Linked DNA regions of Drosophila melanogaster. The protein of the gene in region 2 interacts with the protein of the main gene of each other region in a pairwise test. Each region holds a gene or a part of one and is shown on either strand. Other genes may lie near its edges.

Evidence for each region.
Region 1: the proteins of CG12730 (region 2) and CG6126 interact in a two-hybrid assay, tested with the Drosophila melanogaster proteins (one large-scale study listed by BioGRID).
Region 3: the proteins of CG12730 (region 2) and RNASEK interact in a two-hybrid assay, tested with the Drosophila melanogaster proteins (one large-scale study listed by BioGRID).
Region 4: the proteins of CG12730 (region 2) and CG42495 interact in a two-hybrid assay, tested with the Drosophila melanogaster proteins (one large-scale study listed by BioGRID).

The regions. Positions count from the first base shown.
Region 1 is NT_033777.3:16,197,455-16,204,887, reverse strand, and holds CG6126 (uncharacterized protein), read left to right. Parts: upstream 1-1,804; 5' UTR 1,805-2,054; coding exon 2,055-2,097; intron 2,098-4,993; coding exon 4,994-5,628; intron 5,629-5,690; coding exon 5,691-6,680; 3' UTR 6,681-6,888; downstream 6,889-7,433. Other genes in the region: mtSSB (mitochondrial single stranded DNA-binding protein), read left to right, coding at 352-574; CG31287 (uncharacterized protein), read right to left, coding at 674-880, 938-1,240, 1,295-1,453.
Region 2 is NC_004354.4:5,514,734-5,519,307, forward strand, and holds CG12730 (uncharacterized protein), read left to right. Parts: upstream 1-1,874; 5' UTR 1,875-2,687; coding exon 2,688-2,765; exon of another isoform or gene 2,766-2,767; intron 2,768-2,838; coding exon 2,839-3,111; intron 3,112-3,310; coding exon 3,311-3,406; 3' UTR 3,407-4,038; downstream 4,039-4,574.
Region 3 is NT_033778.4:4,186,314-4,190,107, reverse strand, and holds RNASEK (ribonuclease kappa), read left to right. Parts: upstream 1-1,980; 5' UTR 1,981-2,093; coding exon 2,094-2,162; intron 2,163-2,228; coding exon 2,229-2,348; intron 2,349-2,415; coding exon 2,416-2,514; 3' UTR 2,515-3,273; downstream 3,274-3,794.
Region 4 is NT_037436.4:18,665,392-18,668,659, forward strand, and holds CG42495 (uncharacterized protein), read left to right. Parts: upstream 1-1,969; 5' UTR 1,970-2,043; coding exon 2,044-2,188; intron 2,189-2,256; coding exon 2,257-2,402; intron 2,403-2,455; coding exon 2,456-2,593; 3' UTR 2,594-2,744; downstream 2,745-3,268. Other genes in the region: MYPT-75D (myosin phosphatase targeting subunit 75D), read left to right, coding at 307-863.

The DNA.
Region 1 (7,433 bases), on a different chromosome or scaffold from region 2:
GCATTTGTGTGCGTTTTGCCGCCCAGCATGCGTCTGCAACTGAACTTGAAATCACATCTCAGAGGAGGGAAATAAAAAAGCTACATAAATGTTGACAATTAAGTTAGTTCTTAGCCTTAACCTCCAAGAAAATATCACGTTGAGCTGCTAATTCAGATTTATGTAATGAGTTATTAGAACATTTGCTGTATGTAATTACCTAATGATAACGGCAATAGTGTACATTTCCTTGTTCAATTAACTTCAGTGATCAATTTCTTCTTAGGATCCATGAAATGCCGGATTTCATAAAGAAAATAGCTACCATTTCATTTAAAAAGCATTCATGAAGTCTTAAATATTTCCCCACAGATATGAGAACGGCGACTGGGCCCAACGCACCGACTGGCATCGTGTAGTGGTGTTCAAGCCCAATCTGCGTGACACCGTGCTGGAATACTTGAAGAAGGGACAGCGAACCATGGTGCAGGGAAAGATCACCTATGGAGAGATCACCGACCAGCAGGGCAACCAGAAGACTAGCACCAGTATCATAGCCGACGATGTGTTGTTTTTCCGTGATGCCAACAACTAAAATTTAAGCCCAGATCACCAAACCTAATCTTAAGCGAAAAGTTGAACTTGCAGCATTGTAAGCATTTATAATATTCGTTGGATATATTGTGTTATCAGATTACATGCGTAGTCGTACTCCACATGTGTCTTTTGGTTTTAACTCCTTGACCTTTTTGCATGGGAACGGTGCGTTGAATTGGCGTGCATGTTCGTTATAAAGCTGCTCGAACTCCTTTTGAACTTGTGTGACCTGGCTCTTCAATTTTTCGATATTTTTTTCCATAGACTCCAGTGTATTATTGTGGTAATCGATAAGCTTGGTTACCTGTTGATACACTCACTTTAGAAACTCTAAATACAACTTTTAGTCATCATTTCATACCAAATTTACGGAAGGTACTTTTGCGGATATCTGCTCATTATACGTCGCGACCTCCTCTTTGATCTGATTGCAATGATCGACTGTTTTTTTCGAAGACATCAGCATACTCAGCAAATCCTGATATGTGGTACTTGCCAAAGGAAACACTTGGCCTGCCAGACTCTCAGGACTCGGATAGCTCTGCTCCAATTTCGTAACTGCTTTCTCCGCCTGTATAAGGTTAATCTCGTTTTCATGCAGCTCCATTTCTACCCTAAGCATGGTGCACTTTACTGATCTCAGGGTATCATCGATGGGAAGTGCCTGTTGGAGTATGAAAAATTTATATCCTGTTTGCCTATGGCCATTGAGTCTCACATTTTTGGCATTGTCTAGGCAAATTTGTTCCTGTTCCTTAAGAAATTTTAACTTGGTATTGAAATCTGATTCCATTTCAAGGCTGTCCTGCATTAAAATATCCGCCAGCATATCCAAGTACAGGAATGTCGACGGATCTGATAAGTTTGGCTCACACATAATTTTAAAATTAACTTTAAATGAATTTTATGTATTTTTTGTATGTGTTTTTGTGACTTATGTTTTGTTTGTCACTGAGTGTTAGGCAAATCAAAGCTTGCTAAGGTATGAGTTTTCTGATCGTATTCTAATCTAAGGGATCCTTGCCAAGAGGCATCATTTATTTTCATACATCAAGGATTATAATGGTGATTACAGTTTTTGAAGCTCTTACCCTCGAGCAGAGTTTGCTCTTTAGTTCCCAACTTTGGAGACCTCCACAAGCTCTCTTCGCTCGCGAGCTTGGAGCGACCTTATCGCCATTTACCACTCAGTTTTCTCGCTGAGCGACACAGTTCGCAGTTAGTTTTTGCCAGTTCAAATGCTGCCGGCGGTCGGAAGAGTTGATAGCTGATCGAGCGCTCCGTTTGCGATTTTGTTTCACTCGAGCACGTTGTTTATCCCGGATTCGTTTTGCATCTTCGCGACCCGTAACTATCAGCAGTGCTGCACTGGTGTGCCATTCATACATGCTCCACTTCTGCAGAAGATGACGATTTGTTAAGAAGCAATAGCAAACAGTTACTTTCATTTATTTTTGATTATCAATAAAAAATCAAACATGGCTGTGGATTATGTACTGGAGGACCTGATGGGGAAACTTGGTGAGTGGAATGGGCTTTTGGGAGCGAAGACTTTTGAAAGGTCAGCTGTTACGTTGCCAGGCGTCTCCATCCCGTGCTGATAAGAGCCTGGCGTTATGCTTATCATTTTGAGAGGTCTTATCAGCGTTGCAAGCTACTATGGATAATATTTTGTTTCACGACGACCAATGAGGTTTACCGCCCAACCTTCTGTTCTGCTTTTAAAATCTATAATTAATTTTTCCGTATTATGCTTTTAATCTCCGCCTAATCTATCCGGCTGGCTGTCCGTCACGTCAAGTGCTCAAAAGAAGCCGACTATAATACTTTTTTAATTGCAACTATTTTCATTTTCATTTTGCACTATTCTTAATTTAATAAATCGTCGAGGCCACCAAGTGACAGACATTTATGACAGCTTGATAGAGACTCCGACCTGTTGCTCCCCTTTTGACTATATACCATACCAAGTATGTATTTATGTACACATATAGTCGACACATGTTCGTGTGGGCCAAGTTCTGAGCTGGAGGCTGTCTGACACTTGTTGAGCCTACTTGGCTTTAGCACAGTGACGCTAAAACGAGTGTGGCGGCTAACAGGCAAACAAAAATAAAACGGGTGCAAAAGGGGCGGTATCTGTCACAAGACTGTGAAGTAGGCTCGTCATAAAGATCTTGGGATCTACGGATATCTGGGTATTTGCTTATAATTTATTATATACTCTAATTGTGCGGTTCAAACATTGCAGCTAGCTTGTGGAAGCTACAAAATTAAGCGTGTTTATATGCAGTATGCAAAATAGTTAAGATTAATTGTGGGAATACAGTGGAAGATCGATGGATAAACAGTTTTATTTGTCACGGCTACAAATTAGAAATTTATGAGTCACATAAAATATGAGTTGGAATATAAAATTTGTGTCAACGATTGTGCTGAAATTGTCGTTAATTAAAATAGAACAGTTTTTTACAATCCGAAACTGGTTTTGTATTAAGCATTCGCAAAACCGCAGCCTATAAGAAAGTGACAGGAGAGAGGGAGTAATAATCGCATTAGCGACTTTTTTATTCGTAATATATTCGCATACATTTGTATCTGTGAAATGCAAAAAACCTTAAACTGGTTTGCTCACATTCAACTATATGGCAATACCTCCCTCAGCCATCAAAATTCACATATCGCTCTTTTATTTCTGTTTACTTTGTTGAAGGCCTATTGGCGAGCAGCAACTCTAATTACTTCGAATTTGGAGGCGTGTTGCATTGCTGAGTTGGTTGTTATTTGTACGTAAGAAGGTTACCATAAAACCAGCAACTTAAAATGACTTTGAGAGCACTTCCACACGTGCTATGTGGAGAGCACAGAACAGAACTAAATCGACCTTCAGTTGTTAGTAAACGCGGGAAGTGAAAATGTTGAAGTACGGATGAACAAAAACCGAAGGAAGCCTTAAAGTGGAGGTGTAAAACCATGATCTACCTCAATTATTCGAATCATGATACTTAAGCACAAAGGAAATTTTAAAAGCTTTGAAGAAATCAACTCTGAAATAAAGCAACAGTTGATAGTAGAATAACAGTAGATTAATATACATGTGCAATATTGTTAGAAATATGACTGCATTATTTTTTAATATTCCGTGTTCTTATCCATCTCACTTATCGCTCAAAAAGTTTGCCCAGAATAAACAACGGTCCAAACCTGCGCCATATTCATTTTAATGTGCAAACTGTTGGTTTTGTACATCATAATAGATGGCTTACGATTAAGAGAACAACAAACATTGACAGGGCCAAAAACAAATGTCGTATTCAAGGGCCACTTGGCAACAATTATACGGCTAGTTATATTGGACGGATGCAATAAATCTGAAGCAACAATATCACTGATATATGATCTAGCATTTGGTGGCCTCTGATAATCCGCTATGAGTTCCACATTAGTATTTACTATTACGAGTTTAGTTATCACAAATTTGGCCAATCGATTTCCTAGATTGTGCTCAATTATACGCTGATTATGTCTATTGGGGGCGTAATTGAATTTCATTAGGCGTAGAGTCAAATTTTATAATTGAGATTAATTAAGTCAACCCGATGACATAATTTTACACTTCACGCAATCGTTTTAATAATGAAAAATGAAAATTCTCAGACGTTTTACTCATGATTTGTCGATTGCAACGTAACCGGGGTGAACGTAACTTTTCATTTGATGGCAAGAGTTTCGTTTAAACGATCAATAAACGTAACCCACAAATCAATTGAAACGGCTGATTGAACATTGGACCGTGATCAAGTGTCAAATTCTCGTATCTAGGCTACATACTGTCCATGTCGTTAGAAATTTACACAGCCCCTGGCCTCCCATCAACGCGATCGCCATGGACTGACTGACCAGCCAAGTCATAATCGATTCAGTGCATTCTCCCAAGACATCCGAGTCTCTTTTCATGGCGTTCGAAACCAAAACCAAACCAAACCAAACTGTGGGCAAATATTTGACGGGCTAGGCGAATGCGCTTCAATTGAAATCGAATTGAATAAATTCCACTTGATTTAATTGCAAAGCCTTTGGAGTGACGACAATTCCAGCGATACCCATTAAAAGTTCCCATCTACATAAAAGTCGGCTGTTTCTTTGGGTTGTGTTTTTATCGCAGCTACGTGATGTTCAAATTCAAATACTGAAATAAAAAACCGTTTTAAATAATTTGAGCTAGAACAACTTCCGTTTTCAGCTCAACTTACTTTCTTTTTATTATATTTAATCGTAAACTGGGTGATTCATGGGTGCTACAGATTATCACTATCTATCATGTTGCTGAAAGCTCACATTTGTTGTGCGCTCATAACCTTTCCCAAGACATTAATGATTGTGAAATGTCTTTCTATTTTTTTCTATCCAATTGCAGGGGAGTTTGGAAAGTACCAGTTCCTGCAGTTCTTCCTGCAGGTGCTCTCCGGCCTGACCGCTGGCATGCACATGCTATCGCTGGTCACGGTGGCCGCCGTGCCTGAGCATCGCTGCTTCATCGAGGGCGTGGATAACAGCAGCTTGTCGGTGACACCATGGAACTCGAGCGCTATCCTGGCCGCCATTCCGCTGAAGCCCAATGGCGAGCTAGAGTCCTGCCTCATGTTCGATCCCAGTAGTCCTGGCACCAATACCACCATCAATTGCGAACGTTACGTATACGACACGACGTACTACAAGACTTCGCGCACCATCGACTGGAACTTTGTGTGCGATCGCCGCTGGATGGGAGCCATTGTGCAGACCGTGTTCATGCTGGGCGTGTTCACAGGCGCAGTCACCCTTGGCGGACTCGCCGACAAAGTGGGTCGGAAAACCGTGTTCTGCTGGTCGGCCCTGTTCCAATTGATCATCGGTGTGGGTGTGGCCTTCATTCCCGAGTACTTCTCATTCATGGTGGCTCGCTACCTGCTGGGCATTGTGGGATCAGCGGGTGCCTACATCTGTGGGTTCGTGCTGACCATGGAACTGGTGGGACCTACCAAGCGTACTGTGTGCGGCATTACCTTCCAGGTGAGGAAGACTTCAATAGATTTTGCATTTTTTAAACTGGCTATACCATGCAATACTTTTAGGCTGTTTTCGCTGGTGGCATCATGTTGGTGGCCGGATGGGGAGCACTCATCCCTGACCGCCAGTGGCTCCAAGTGATCTACGGACTGCATGGCTGTCTGTTCCTGGGCCACTGGTGGTGGCTCGATGAATCTCCGCGCTGGCTGTGGATGCAGGGACGTGCCGCCGAGGCGGTGGATATTGTGGCCAAGGGCCTGAGAATCAACGGATCGGGCATCCCGGTGGACAAGGAGTACTATGTGCAGAAAGCCAAACAGCAGGCGGCGGCCGAAGAAAAATCCAGCGCCGGATTGAGCGACCTCTTCCGCACGCCCAACTTGAGGATGAAGACTTTGAACGTGTGCCTCTGCTGGTTCGCCAATTCTCTGGTTTATTACGGACTATCGCTCAGTGCCGGCAAGCTGTATGGAAATCCCTACCTGATCCTGTTCATCATGGGCCTCGTGGAGTTCCCCAGCTACATAACCATTGTGTTCGTCCTAGATCGCCTGGGTCGTCGATCGATCACCTCCACCCTGATGTTGGGTGGCGGTCTATGCTGCATTGTGGCCGCCTACATTGCCCAGGGCAGCACCACCTCCACGGCGGTGGTAATGGCAGGAAAGCTCCTCATCGCCGGTTCCTTTGCCGTAATCTACAATTACTCAGCCGAACTGTTTCCCACCGTGGTGCGGAACTCGGCCATGGGATTGGGATCGATGTGTGCCCGTTTGTCGGGAGCCCTTACTCCGCTCATTACATTGCTGGACTCATTTGATCCGAAGATACCGGCCGTGCTGTTCGGCGTGGTGGCCCTGATCTCGGGCTTCTGGGTTATGTTCCTGCCGGAGACAATGAACCAGCCCATGCCCGAGTCCATTGAGGATGGAGAGAACTTCGGAAAGGGAGATACTTGGTTCAGTCAGTGTGCTGGTCGCAAAAAGCGCCAGAATAGCGTATATCCCGACGATCCGGAGCAAATGGTGCCGCTCAAGAACATCGAGAGCAAGTAGAACCTAGCCAAAGACGATTGTTTCCCAAGTCCAAAATCCAGCTTAAATTCCTTGTTACCCTGTGTTTTCTTGTTAAGAATTCTACTCTTCTGCCTAGTAGTAAGATTTAATAGTTTCTATTCATTCCAAGCGAATAAAACGATGTGCAGAATATGGGGAATCCTAATTTGTGGATTCACTCATTTCTGAGTGTCCCTTTGTTGTTTGTACGGATTTTTTCTTTTAATTTTTTCGGTGGTAAAATTTAGTTTAAAGGAAATTTAAATGCTTGACGAGCATTTTTACTGATTAGTGTTGTCTACTTTTAGGCTCTATCAATTTAGGCGCAGATTCATAGCTTGAATTTCAATTTTCTCTACGGTAAAACCAGTACACACCAAAAAATTATTTCCCAACTATTTCCAATTAAAGTTTATTCTCCGACCGACACAGCCAATTCGGGTTCGTCTGGCCTTGCAAAGTTTCAGTAATTTCCACTCAATTGCACTATCGAATTGCCAATTGCCGACAGGGATTTCCAATGTCAAATCCATAACCCATCGCTTCCCTTTGCTCCACATGATGTTTAACCCGCCAATTAAAGTTTGTTTAAAGAGAGAGTTTTGGTTTTTCGGTTTTTGTTTCTTGTTTGGTAATTCTTCATTTTGTTTTGTTTGGTACATTTGAGAACATTCATTTCGAATTTGAATATATTTTCAATTTAAATTTTAACTACACGTAGGCATATAGATTTATAAACGTATGTATGTGTAT
Region 2 (4,574 bases):
TGTCAGCTGGCGGATAAAAAGCGCCCAAAGTCGAAGGGAATATCAGATTCAAATTCACTTGGCAGATATGCTGAGGTCGTTGCTATTTTTGGGGTATTTCGGGATTCGAAATTAGGGGGGGTGGTCTTGGTCTTGTCACGTCAGCTGCAGAGTCTGACAGCCACTGCACGAAATTTGCATTCAAATCGAGCCGTGTATCTGGGCAACTTAGTATCTGTATCTGACAGATACCCAGCTGGCACACTTCTTTGTCGAGGTTGAGAAATGGCTACGGCCCAACTTGCCGCTTTCTTTCGAACTTCCTTCAAAGTGCCTGAAACTAATTATCTGCCTGCTCGCAAACGTTTACTCCAACTTTCGTTTAATTGGTCATAGTTATCGCCAAGTTTGTCATTATTAAAGATGCTTCTGATGCATCTGAAACTGGATTTTTTCAGCCAGAACACTGCTTAATAGCTCACATGTCGCTTTGCCTTTGGTCCTGCTCCACGTTATCCCGTCGCCAAAGCAAACAAAATCTTGCTGATGCAGCAGCTGGCAATTACAGCGAATGCTTTTCTAATTAGATGCACCCACATTTTCCAATTCCCCCCGGCCCCGCCCCCCTCTCTCTCCGCTGCTCTACAACATGGGTGGAAAAGCGATGGAAATTGCCTGAGTGCGTAAGCGAAAAACCAGCCATGTGCATGAATCGTAGGCGAGATATATCACTAAACAATGCACTCTCAGCAACGTGCCACTGAGTATAAGTTGGATATTTAGTTAAAAACTATTTAGATGCTTTTGCTGTTATTCAGTGGTTTAAAGCGCACATTTATAAAGTCCTCTGTGCACTTATCGAATTCAAAGTCCTAAAGAAATCAAAGAAATGTCCATAGGTAATCATAGCTTTTTGCCATTGAGACTCGCACGCCCTCAAGTGTAAATCCGCTCTCCAGTCAATTTTCTTCGCTTTTCCGCCGCACATTTTCCCCGCTTGTCCAGACGATTCGATGCTTATCGATGAGCGCAAATCTCGTGCCTCCCATATTTATGTATATATATATGTTTATACATATATATGCATGAGCTTTTAGAAATCATGTAGACATTAGTTGCCCTGCAGTCGTCTGACTGTTTGTTACCCTCGAAATGGAAACTGCACTTTATCGCTTAAATTGCTCAAGTGCAGTTCATTTATGATTTTCGTGCTCATTTCCGCTTGTTGTGGCCGATTTCCGTCGCATAGATATCTCACTCAGCATTTTCCGCTCTGCATTAGAATATGTGAATCTGTGAAACTGTGAATGTCTCTGAATCTCAGTCAGTCGAGGCGATTGTGCAAGTGACCTTGGCCAGGAGGCGGGGGCCACCCATGCGGCCATTTCGTAAACGAGCCACCTCTCATGAATATGAGTCAATTAATATAACTCAATTTGATGTCGGGCCAGAGTGTTTCGACTGCTACCCTATACAAGTATCTATGCATTTTCAAGAACTTTAACAATTGAATGTGGAAAATAGTACATGAGTAGCGAGAAATCAAAATTAAATGAATGAAAAAATTGTATCTGTAATATCTTTGTAGCTTTGTATCATAAAATTTTTTTCTTTTGTATGGAGTAGTGTGTTCAAAGTTCGTCAAACTTATCTGGCCACCAAATGGTTTGTGTATATTCACGTATTCCGTATGATATGTGCTGGGCAGCTTGTGTTTTGCAATGTGAATCACGACGAAATTGCATTTGATTTTGGGAGGCTCGCATTTGCATTCGCATTCGGATTTGTGCAGCGATTTATCCGTTAAGTAACTAAATCAATTAGCCTGCTGTGCCGATTAAAATAACGAGAAGCGTTTCGGTCATAGCCGATAACAAATACGATTCGAATGGCACAATCTAATGATGCTGGGCATTAAGATACAGATGGAAATTCGAATGCACAGTGGTCCAAAAAGGGCCCAACCTCAAACTGCATGTCACAAGCAATGCCAGTCATAAAAGCTCGGCACTTCACACGACTAAAAAAGCTTTGCTCACCCAGTAACCGGTCACCTTGCCTTATGAATATACATATATTTAATATATCCCTGGAGGTCAGTGAGTCACACCGTGTTAGATTCACCCCTTGACATCCCCCGAACGAAAATTAGTATAATGTAACGAAGAAGCATTCACAATGAACAGACCCCCAAAACTACAGTTAGTAAGACAAGTTAATATGGTTTATTCATTTATTGGAAATTACAGCTTTCTTAAACTAATAATCCTATTTTTTATAAATACCCAGCTAAAGCTAATCTCCTTAATATTTATAGTTTCATTAGATACCATTTGAGTAGATAACACAATTTGTACACAATATGTACTACATTTCCTGATCGTTTCGTCCCACTGTGCCATGTGTTGCTCGCTCTCTGTCTCTCTCTCTCTCTCTCTCTCTCTCTCTCTCTTTCGCCCGCTGCTTCTCTCGCTCTCGCAATTGTAGTTTTATTCGCCGAGTGTAACGATGGGAGAATTCTGAGTATTTGTGTTGTTTGTATTACTTCAGTGGCATTCTGTGCGTGCTGGCGAGCGCAATATGAATTAGTCAGCGGCGCTTCGCTACATTTGCTACATTGGCTTTAATCGCTCGTTTCTGAGGCATCTATTCGGCTGGACAATCTGGATTAACTGCATCCAAAACGTATATATCTTGTATTGGCCGCGATGTCGTTGACGGGAACCCAGGACTACGATCGCAAATACCTGCTCAGCATGCCGGGCCTGTGCAAGCTGGCCTGTTTGGTAATTAGCCTTACACATATGTGCCATTGTGTATCGCCCTTAATGTGTGCGCTTGTATGTGTGCGTCTTTCAGCTGTGCAGCTTTGTTGGAATATTGTGCATCATCTGCGGACCGGTGCGCGTGAGCAATTTCCGCGGCAGTTTCTACCTGGCCGTAGTCACCATCGGATTCGTGGCCACCGGCTGCCTGCTCCTGGCCAGGTATCTCCGGTTGTGGCAGCGCCAGTTCTGCCGATGCGATCCCACGCTCTGGTCCCTGGCGGTGCACTCCTCATTGGCCCTGGCCTACTTCACGGCCTCCGGACTCGTACTCTCCCTGGATATTGGAGCCTATACGGCGGCGGCGGTAAGTGGCGTTCTCGCAGTTAGGATAAGTTCGGAAACCAAAAGTATTACGGCTCATTGTTTCGGCTAATGATTAAGCTAGGAAAGATACTGGTAAACGAAACACTGAGCCTCCAGTTGGAGCCGATTCATTCCCTCGCTGTGATGAACTCTCTGTAGATCCGTCTAATACACCCTATTCTTCACCTTTTTTTTTACAGTTCTTTGGCCTGACAGCATTTTGCATCAACGGACTGGAGGCCTATGGAAACTATCGGCGCAGTCGCCAGCGGGAGGTGGCCACCCAAACGATATAGACTTGGTTTCAGGTGCACGAACCCAGCTTTTGGTGGCTCTTACTACGTTAGGCTTACTCTGTGTGTGTATCTGTGTGAGAGCGAGTATCTGTGTGCGAACGAGTATCTGTGTGAGTGCCAGTGCGTGCGCGTGTGTGTGAGTTTGTTTTGAGAGAGCGAGTATCGCTTGCGTTTGCTTGAAGCATTTAAGTCTGAAGTTTGAAATTGTGGCAAGCTTTTGTCGCGGGAACAGTTACCGTATGTGTTATCTAATAGTCGCTAGATATAGGTCAAGAAGTGAAGAAGATAAAGCCAGTCGATCGCAGCAATAACGTAGATATAATAGCGAACAGAAAGCGAGAGAAAACCACTAACAAGAGAGCAAATTCCAAAGAGATAAGTTGTATTGTGCCTTCTGGCTCTGCTTCTTCCCTTCTTCTGATAACTGGTTAACAATGCGTGAATATATATGTACATATATATACCCGATTTTTTTTTTACTTTTATTAAGTACATAGTATTTGTGTGTCTCAAGTGAATATACATTGAAGTAGTTAGTTTTTAGCACAATGCTTTTCATGACCACTGAATTGTTGTATTTATAAACAAATAAATCGTTTGCAATGGAAGAATAAAACAAAAATACATAAATGTAATTTGTAAATGAAGGGTGTTTTTTAATGATGAGAGTTCATATGCGTAAATTGGGCTTGAATGTCAATTGTTGATCGTGCATATTGTTATTGATTCATTTACGCAAAAGGCCACTTTCCCGAGGCTATTGTTTATTTATTTTACTACACGAACTACTTTTGCGACCATGTTTGCTTGCACAACAAGCTATTTTCACCTAACATTGCCGGATAGAATTTTTGCAACCGGCGCTCCATGAAAAAGATATCGCCAACCTTTGTTTACCTTATCCGCATTGAAACTGAAAATAAACAGGTACACTATGGTGCCCCCCTGTCTGATTTTGCTTCTTGTTTCGTTTTCGTTTTGGTTTCGGTGCTCTGTAAGCTGTTGCCATTGTTGGCTTTTCAAATCTTTTGAACCACCCACAAACGCAACAACCATCATCACCCAACAAGCAGCACCCAACGCCCACAAAAAAGCACTTGGCTCGTCTATTGTTTGTGTTGTTTTTGGGGGCTCCCGCCTCATTATTATTACTTTTGTTGCCAGTTTG
Region 3 (3,794 bases), on a different chromosome or scaffold from region 2:
CGCTCTCCGCTCTCTCGATCTTGAACAAAAATTCGGGAGAGCCTGGAGCCACCTCTAGAGCCACGCCGAAAAAATCGTGTGCCAAAAAGTCGTTATGGCGGTACGCATCTTGTTATTCTAGAGTCTTTGATAAAACCCTATCAAAAAATAAGACAAGACGAAATTGTAGGTTGTCAATATTTTTGGAAAAACCAAATCAGACGCATGTGAACTCGTTTATCGCGCGAGGCGAGTTGCATCTCAATTGCGCTGAAGAATACATGTTTTTAACTGGTGTCGGTTGATGGATAGACTGGAAGTATGAAATCGATCTTTCGGATAAAGGCACTGAGTTCTGGGGTATTACCACTGAATGTGGGTATTTGCCTAATTTGGCTTAAGGCTTGATTCAGATGGGATTCCGATAACAGTTTGACTTGCTCGGTTGCCATGGCTGATGATTTTATTTTTATTTTTGTTTTTACACTTTTATTGACCGTATGCAGTAGGTTTGACTATTGCGTGTCAACCACCGATTATAAGTAGTTCTTTTGCGGATAAAAGAGTTAATTGTATTACGATTTTATGTTCACTTTAGCGCCGATTCGCGTGGTTCAATCTTAAGCAGGGTTATGGCGATTGATAACGTACTCAGAACTGAACTAACGTATTGGGGCATGTTTGGGTTTATGTAGGCAGATTGGGATAGCTTAAGAGCGAAGCTTAAGAGAACAACGTTATCAACGTCTATTCTCCTGTTAAGAGAGGAGCTTCCGAAAAATAGGATTAATTGGAGAATCCTGAGACGATTGTGTGGGCGGAAGTTTTTGTTATTTCAGTTGGTTCACCAAGTGATCGGATATTTAGGGGACGTGGACGTTGGCTCGACGCAGAGTCTAGACTTTGGAATTCGGACTTTTGCACTTTGCTGTGAGTAATTGACAGCTAAGCTTAATCGAAGGGCTCTCGATCTTTAATTACATTTCGTACTTACACATTGATGTGTGTGTGTAATTGTTTACGATAGTGTGTGTGGTTGGGGAGTTGTGGGTATAGAATGGATATGTTAATATATATATATGATATAATATAATATATATATGTCGGTGAAGCCGAGCGTCCAATTAATTAGCACAGCAAGTCGCCTGCGTGTTGTCTCTTTGGCAGTTCTCACCAGACTTATTTACTCAAGCGTCGCCTTCTCGATGCTATTCTTCTATTTCTCATCTTCAAAATTCTTTTTTTGTTTTATCCTTACTTCGTTTCCACAAAACTCTACCACAACAACAACAGGCGCCATGCTAATTTGAATACACACACAAATGATGCCCACTCAATAACGGAACTCATTCCGTGAATTTTATTACTCGCTGCTCATCCTTAACATACGGATCAATAAACAAATGTCGGTTACATTCAAATAATAATTCAAATAATATGTTAGATCTACTCAATCTCCGACATATATATTAAAATATTAATAATTATAATAATAAAATTAATAATATTAAAATTATTATTATTATATATATATATATGTATATATATATTTATTTATTATACTTATTGTATTGTATTGTATATATATATATATATATATAATATATATATTATAATATATTATATATATATTGTTATATAAATTAACAGGCAACGATTTTGTGTATTGCGATTTATTATGCGACTATGCGCGTTCTGATGAGTTTTAAAACTAAAGACAGAAAACTTAAGCTTAATATGAAGTAGCCCGTTTTCTGAAGCAGCGCTCACGGCAGAATGCTGACATCGCGCTTCACACGCTCCGGGCAGTAGAATGTTGACCATTGCGCTTCACACGCTCCGGGCAGTGACTAAAATTACTAAAACGGCCCTTGTTCCTTTTCCACCGCTCCTAAATCGTCACTAGCTCACCGACGCTAGTTTGACGAGCTTATGTTTTTTATCGCTTACATTTGCATCAGTTTTTTAATTTTATTTGTGCACAGCCACACCAAAAGTTTGGTCACATGATATGTTCACCTGACAAAATCACAGTTTTCATTGAGGAATTGTGACGAATTGTGTTTGCTGAAACTTTTTATTCTCTTAAAAGTGTTTAACAAAAATTTAAGAAAATGAAAATCTGTGGCCCGAAACTATCACTTTGTGGTCTTATTATCTCTGTTTGGGGTATTGTCCAATTGGTGAGTACTGAGAATCTAATTTCGTCAAAGTTTCAAAAAGTAACCACTTACATATTTATGTTAAAGGTTTTAATGGGTCTATTCTTCTACATAAATAGTGTAGCCCTCATTGAGGACTTACCTCTTGAGGAGGAATACCATTCGTTGGAAGATTTTTATGCAGCTGCAAATAGAGCATACAATCAGGTATGTTCTCTTTTTACAACAACCATATGTACACATACGTCTGCTAATGCAAGGTAAATTTTTTCAGAATGCCTACAACTGCTGGATTGCCGCATGTATATATGTTTTGACTTTGTTGCTCTCCGCCCAGCAATTTTACATGAATAGCAGAGTAACTGCCAACTAATATTTCAGATGTAGTTTCCCAACTACTTAAAACTAGTATTGAAATTTTCCCTTCGATATATTTGTTAGAGGTGTTTTCCTTTTAATAAAGTTAAAGTTCAATTTAAATGTTACAACATGCTTATTGTATTAAGGGGCGGAGTGAGGAGTTTGTGTTTTTTAAACCCCAAAGAAGACTATTCACTTCATTTTTTATGTTTCATGTGTTCAGTGCGCCATTCACTTCTTATTTCTGTTATATATTTAAATTTTGAGAATTAATATATTTGATTACTATAGTAGCGATAAATCCAAACTCCGGAATTTCCTTCAGAGTCATGAAAGCACTTTTTTTTATTAAAGAGGTCAATCTGAACAAATTGTTGAAATGATATTTTATTTCTCCACGGGAATTTTACCTACGGAAGACCTAAAAAAAGGTATTTTAAATGTTTATTACGGTTATTACTGATATTGTGTGGAACGGTTTGGCGAGACATGAATTATTCGTACTGTTTTTAATTTTGTTGATAGCTATTATTAAATTACCCAACTTACAAATATTTTATTTATAAATTAATTAAAGTAGTTAGTAAGGTCATTACTGTCTTGATTTCCTATATCAAGCTGGTAATTAATTATGTTACGTTACGTCGTTCTGTAACATGTACATATGAACACGAGATTATCTTGTGCGCTGTGTTGCTGTATCCACATACACTAGTCGGTAAGCATTTTGACAAAATAAACTCCAAACCTTTTTTCAGTGAAACTTTTAAATGGTTTAATATGATAGTAATGTCTATTTTTTGTGTGTAAGTAAGTCGAACCTTTACTAAATCCTCCATATTGTAAAGGATCATCTCTTTAAAAAGAGAAGTGATTTCAGAAATCGCCTTCTAACGAGTTTTGTGTCACGGAACAGTTATTTTCCGTTTTAAAAGAGACCAGATTTCTTAATTATATTTAAATCTGGACTTTGAGGTGCACAATTCAAGAGAGTGACGCCAACAGCCTTTAGAAACTTGGCTATCATTCGGGCTTTGTGGCACGGAGCATAATCTTTCTGCAGGATAAATGATCCTCGATCAGCCTATTTCCAGAAGGAAACGCATTTTCGTTTAGGGTCGTCAAACATTGCCTTTGGTTCATCGAGCCGGAGACAGGGACCAAGTCACCGAACCGAAGACACTAGAGTAACAGATGCGTAGTGCCATACTCTCAAATTTTTGTTCGAGAGCGAGAGAGCGGAGAGCGCTACAGCGAACAGCTCTTTTCGACGCCTGCAGTGATAGCAGACAA
Region 4 (3,268 bases), on a different chromosome or scaffold from region 2:
CAGGGGAGCATGGCTGCAATAAGCATTAGCATTTGACTCGCATGTAACCTCCATCCCATCTACCCGATCACTCCCAATTGGTCAATGGGTATCTGCTAACTTAGTTCTCGGGAAAAGAAGAGAAGAAAAGTAAAATAACATTTGCTTGTTTCCGTTTCATTCTTTTTTGTTGTCGTTGTTGTGCCTCGTTTCGCCCGTTCTGTGTCGTCTGCCTGCCCGCATCATCATCAACAATAAAAACAACAACCACCGCACCACTAAACACCAAACACACCCAACGCCTTGCCAAAAACTTCCAACATCCAGACACCAATAGCACGCACCACCATCAGCAACATCAACAGCAGCAGCAGCAGCAGCAGCAACACCACCACCAGCAACACGTACTGCTGTTGCAGCAACACCAGCAGCTTCAGCAACATCAGCAGCAACAGCAACAGCAGCAGCAGCAGCAGCATGTTGCCTTGGATGGCTACAGCGCCACATTGGCCAATTTGAAGAAGCAACGCTCGCTTTCACGCACCGCCAATGTCCTCAATACTTTCGAATTGTCATCCCAAACAGCTAGCAATGCCCATCCAATTGCAGCAGCTAATGCCACAACAACTAATGGTTCTGTTTTAGGAGCCGGCGGCAGCAGCAGCAACAACAACAACAACCTGAGCACCAGCAACAACAACAACAACGGATCCGCACCGATCTCGACGCAGCCAACATTGGGTCACATGGGCGCGGGAAGCGTGCTATCCGACTTCGAGGGCTCCTCGCCGGCGGGCAGTTCGCTGAACAAGTTCAGCGGCATCACTGGCGACGTGGTCACCGATAGCACCAGTTCCAGTCGCAGGTGTTGCGTCCTGATGTAGAAACTTAGCGAACTACTAGAGTCACAGGGTATTAGAGCAGCCAGAATTGTCAGAGGGATAGGCCATTTGTTAAATGGCAAGAAAAAAGTGTCTTTTTATTAGATTAGCCGTATTCAGTGAGTGAATTGTTGAATGTTGATTACACAAATGCATGTTGGTTTTGAGAACGGGGTTCGATTCTGTGAGCTCCTAGATAACGGCTGAAAGTCGTTGCATTTTCCTAGCAGACACAACAACACACTAAAGACACACACAACCAATTATACGAAACAAATTTATACAAATATACAACCATATGTATACATTTTAAAGAATATTAAAAGAATTACGTATAAAATAATTGTGAGCAGTTTACCTTAGGCGATATATAACAACTAACTAAATCAAAATGAAAAAACATCAAAAAATATTTATATAGCAATGCTAAGTAAGAACCTAACTTAATAGATTTGCTTGGAGTGCATTAGGAATATCTGTGTTTCCGTGTGTGAGTGTTACAACCGAAACAGGCGAAGTATTATGCAACAAGTAAATATTTAACTAAATATATAGTACGATAGCAAAATTGTAGTTAAACCGTGACAGCAAAGTAAAGCAAAGCAATGAGACGAAATGCATAGCACTCAAGCAATTTCCACATATAAGTGTCTAAATGTTTGAATTGAAGGAATGTTAATAATGCCAGGCGGCATAGAGATTTATTTTTTAATGCAACTACTTTGCTCTGCGTTATGTAAGTTGAGTTTTGTTGAGAGGTACAAGAATATATGTATTATTTATGTAGCAGCGGTCTTTGTATATAAACCTACACAATTCCAAAAGATGCAAAAACAACGCGCAATTAGCAAATGAGACTTTTTCGATGAATGTCAAGGCATTAGCTGAACGTTTTGTAAAATAAACAAATGAAATACGAAAAAATTACACACAAATTTGATTTGATTTTGCGCCAGTTAGTTTTTTATATTCCTGTGCTTATATTTCTTATGAAGAATGAAGTTGAAGTAAATATCTACTCTTTTAAATCTCGCGCCAAGGTGCTCCACCTGGCGGGATTTTAATGAACCGCAAGCTTGTCATATGGAAGTAAGTTGGCAGCTTTGCGCATCAGCTGTTGCCTCGTTCGACTTTTGTTTACATTTTTATTGGTTTAAACTTATAAGTTTAAAGATCTAACCTAATGGAATCACTCGCAAAATATCGATACAGTTTGGTGGCTGGCTCCTTCGCAGCTGCAGGAAGCTTTTTCGGAAAACTTCCCAGCCACCTGAGCGCCCAAAAACTACTGAATACTTCGCAAATAAATGAAGACTTTTCTTATTTAGGCAAGATTGTGATTTCTTCAAACAAGCAAAATGTTTATAAATTTATAAAATTTTATTTTATTTATTAGAAATAGCATTACTTCAGCTGCTGCCACTAGTGTTAATGGTAACATGCAACGTTTGCAACTTGCGTTTCTTTTTGAAGGCCCTGCAAATGACTGAACAAACTTTAACGTGCGTCGTTTTAACTGCCGCTTCGAATTATGTCTTATCGGTAGGTGATCCACCGATCTATTTGTTCAATTATGATTACTGTTCGTTATATAGTTTGTCCTAGGTGCGCTTGTTTATCGGGAGCCACTGACAGTACTATCTGGCATCGGAATAACTCTCATTCTGGCTGGTCTTTGGTTTCTTTGCGACGGAGGAACAGTCGAGTCCGAAAAGCAGGACAAAATGGAATAGTAGGAATGGGATTTGCTTAAGATTAGCTTCTTTTATACACATTTTTCATTTGCCATATAACTTTCTGAAGCAGGGATAAAAATAGTTAAAGAAACTTAATTTTCCATTTGTAACTTTAAAATATAAAAATGTTGGGAACCCCAATTAGTCCAAAAAAACGAATGGTTTATATACTTTTGTTTAATGTATGTACTGTTTTGCAAATACATAGTTTTCATTTCATTTATAATGCACTGTTAGTGTGCACGCTTCTTCATTCACGCGGCAATAATTACAACTATTATGTTTTACGTGGTTTTGTATTTTTGTTTTCATCGTTTGTGTGTAAAAGTTTGGCAGAACAAAAAAAGGTGTTGAAATGGGATAGAGCATGACAGTAAGAGCACAAACTATAAATATATTTATCCCTTCGTTTATATATATAGGTAATAGTAATTAATTTTTATAATTCAGAATCGTTATTTAATTGCTAAGACGTATAAATACTTTTTATATTCTTTCTCTCGACATCTGTAATCATCAATCAGCTTCAACGCAGCCAAACAGACAAAAAGTAAAATCAAGCAAGAAATGGCAGATCCAAGTTACATACAAGTTTTGCCCATCTGTCGTTTGTTTTCCTTGGACGAAGTAGTGTTGTGTCCTGTCCTATCCTGTCTGGGAGTTTTAGAAACC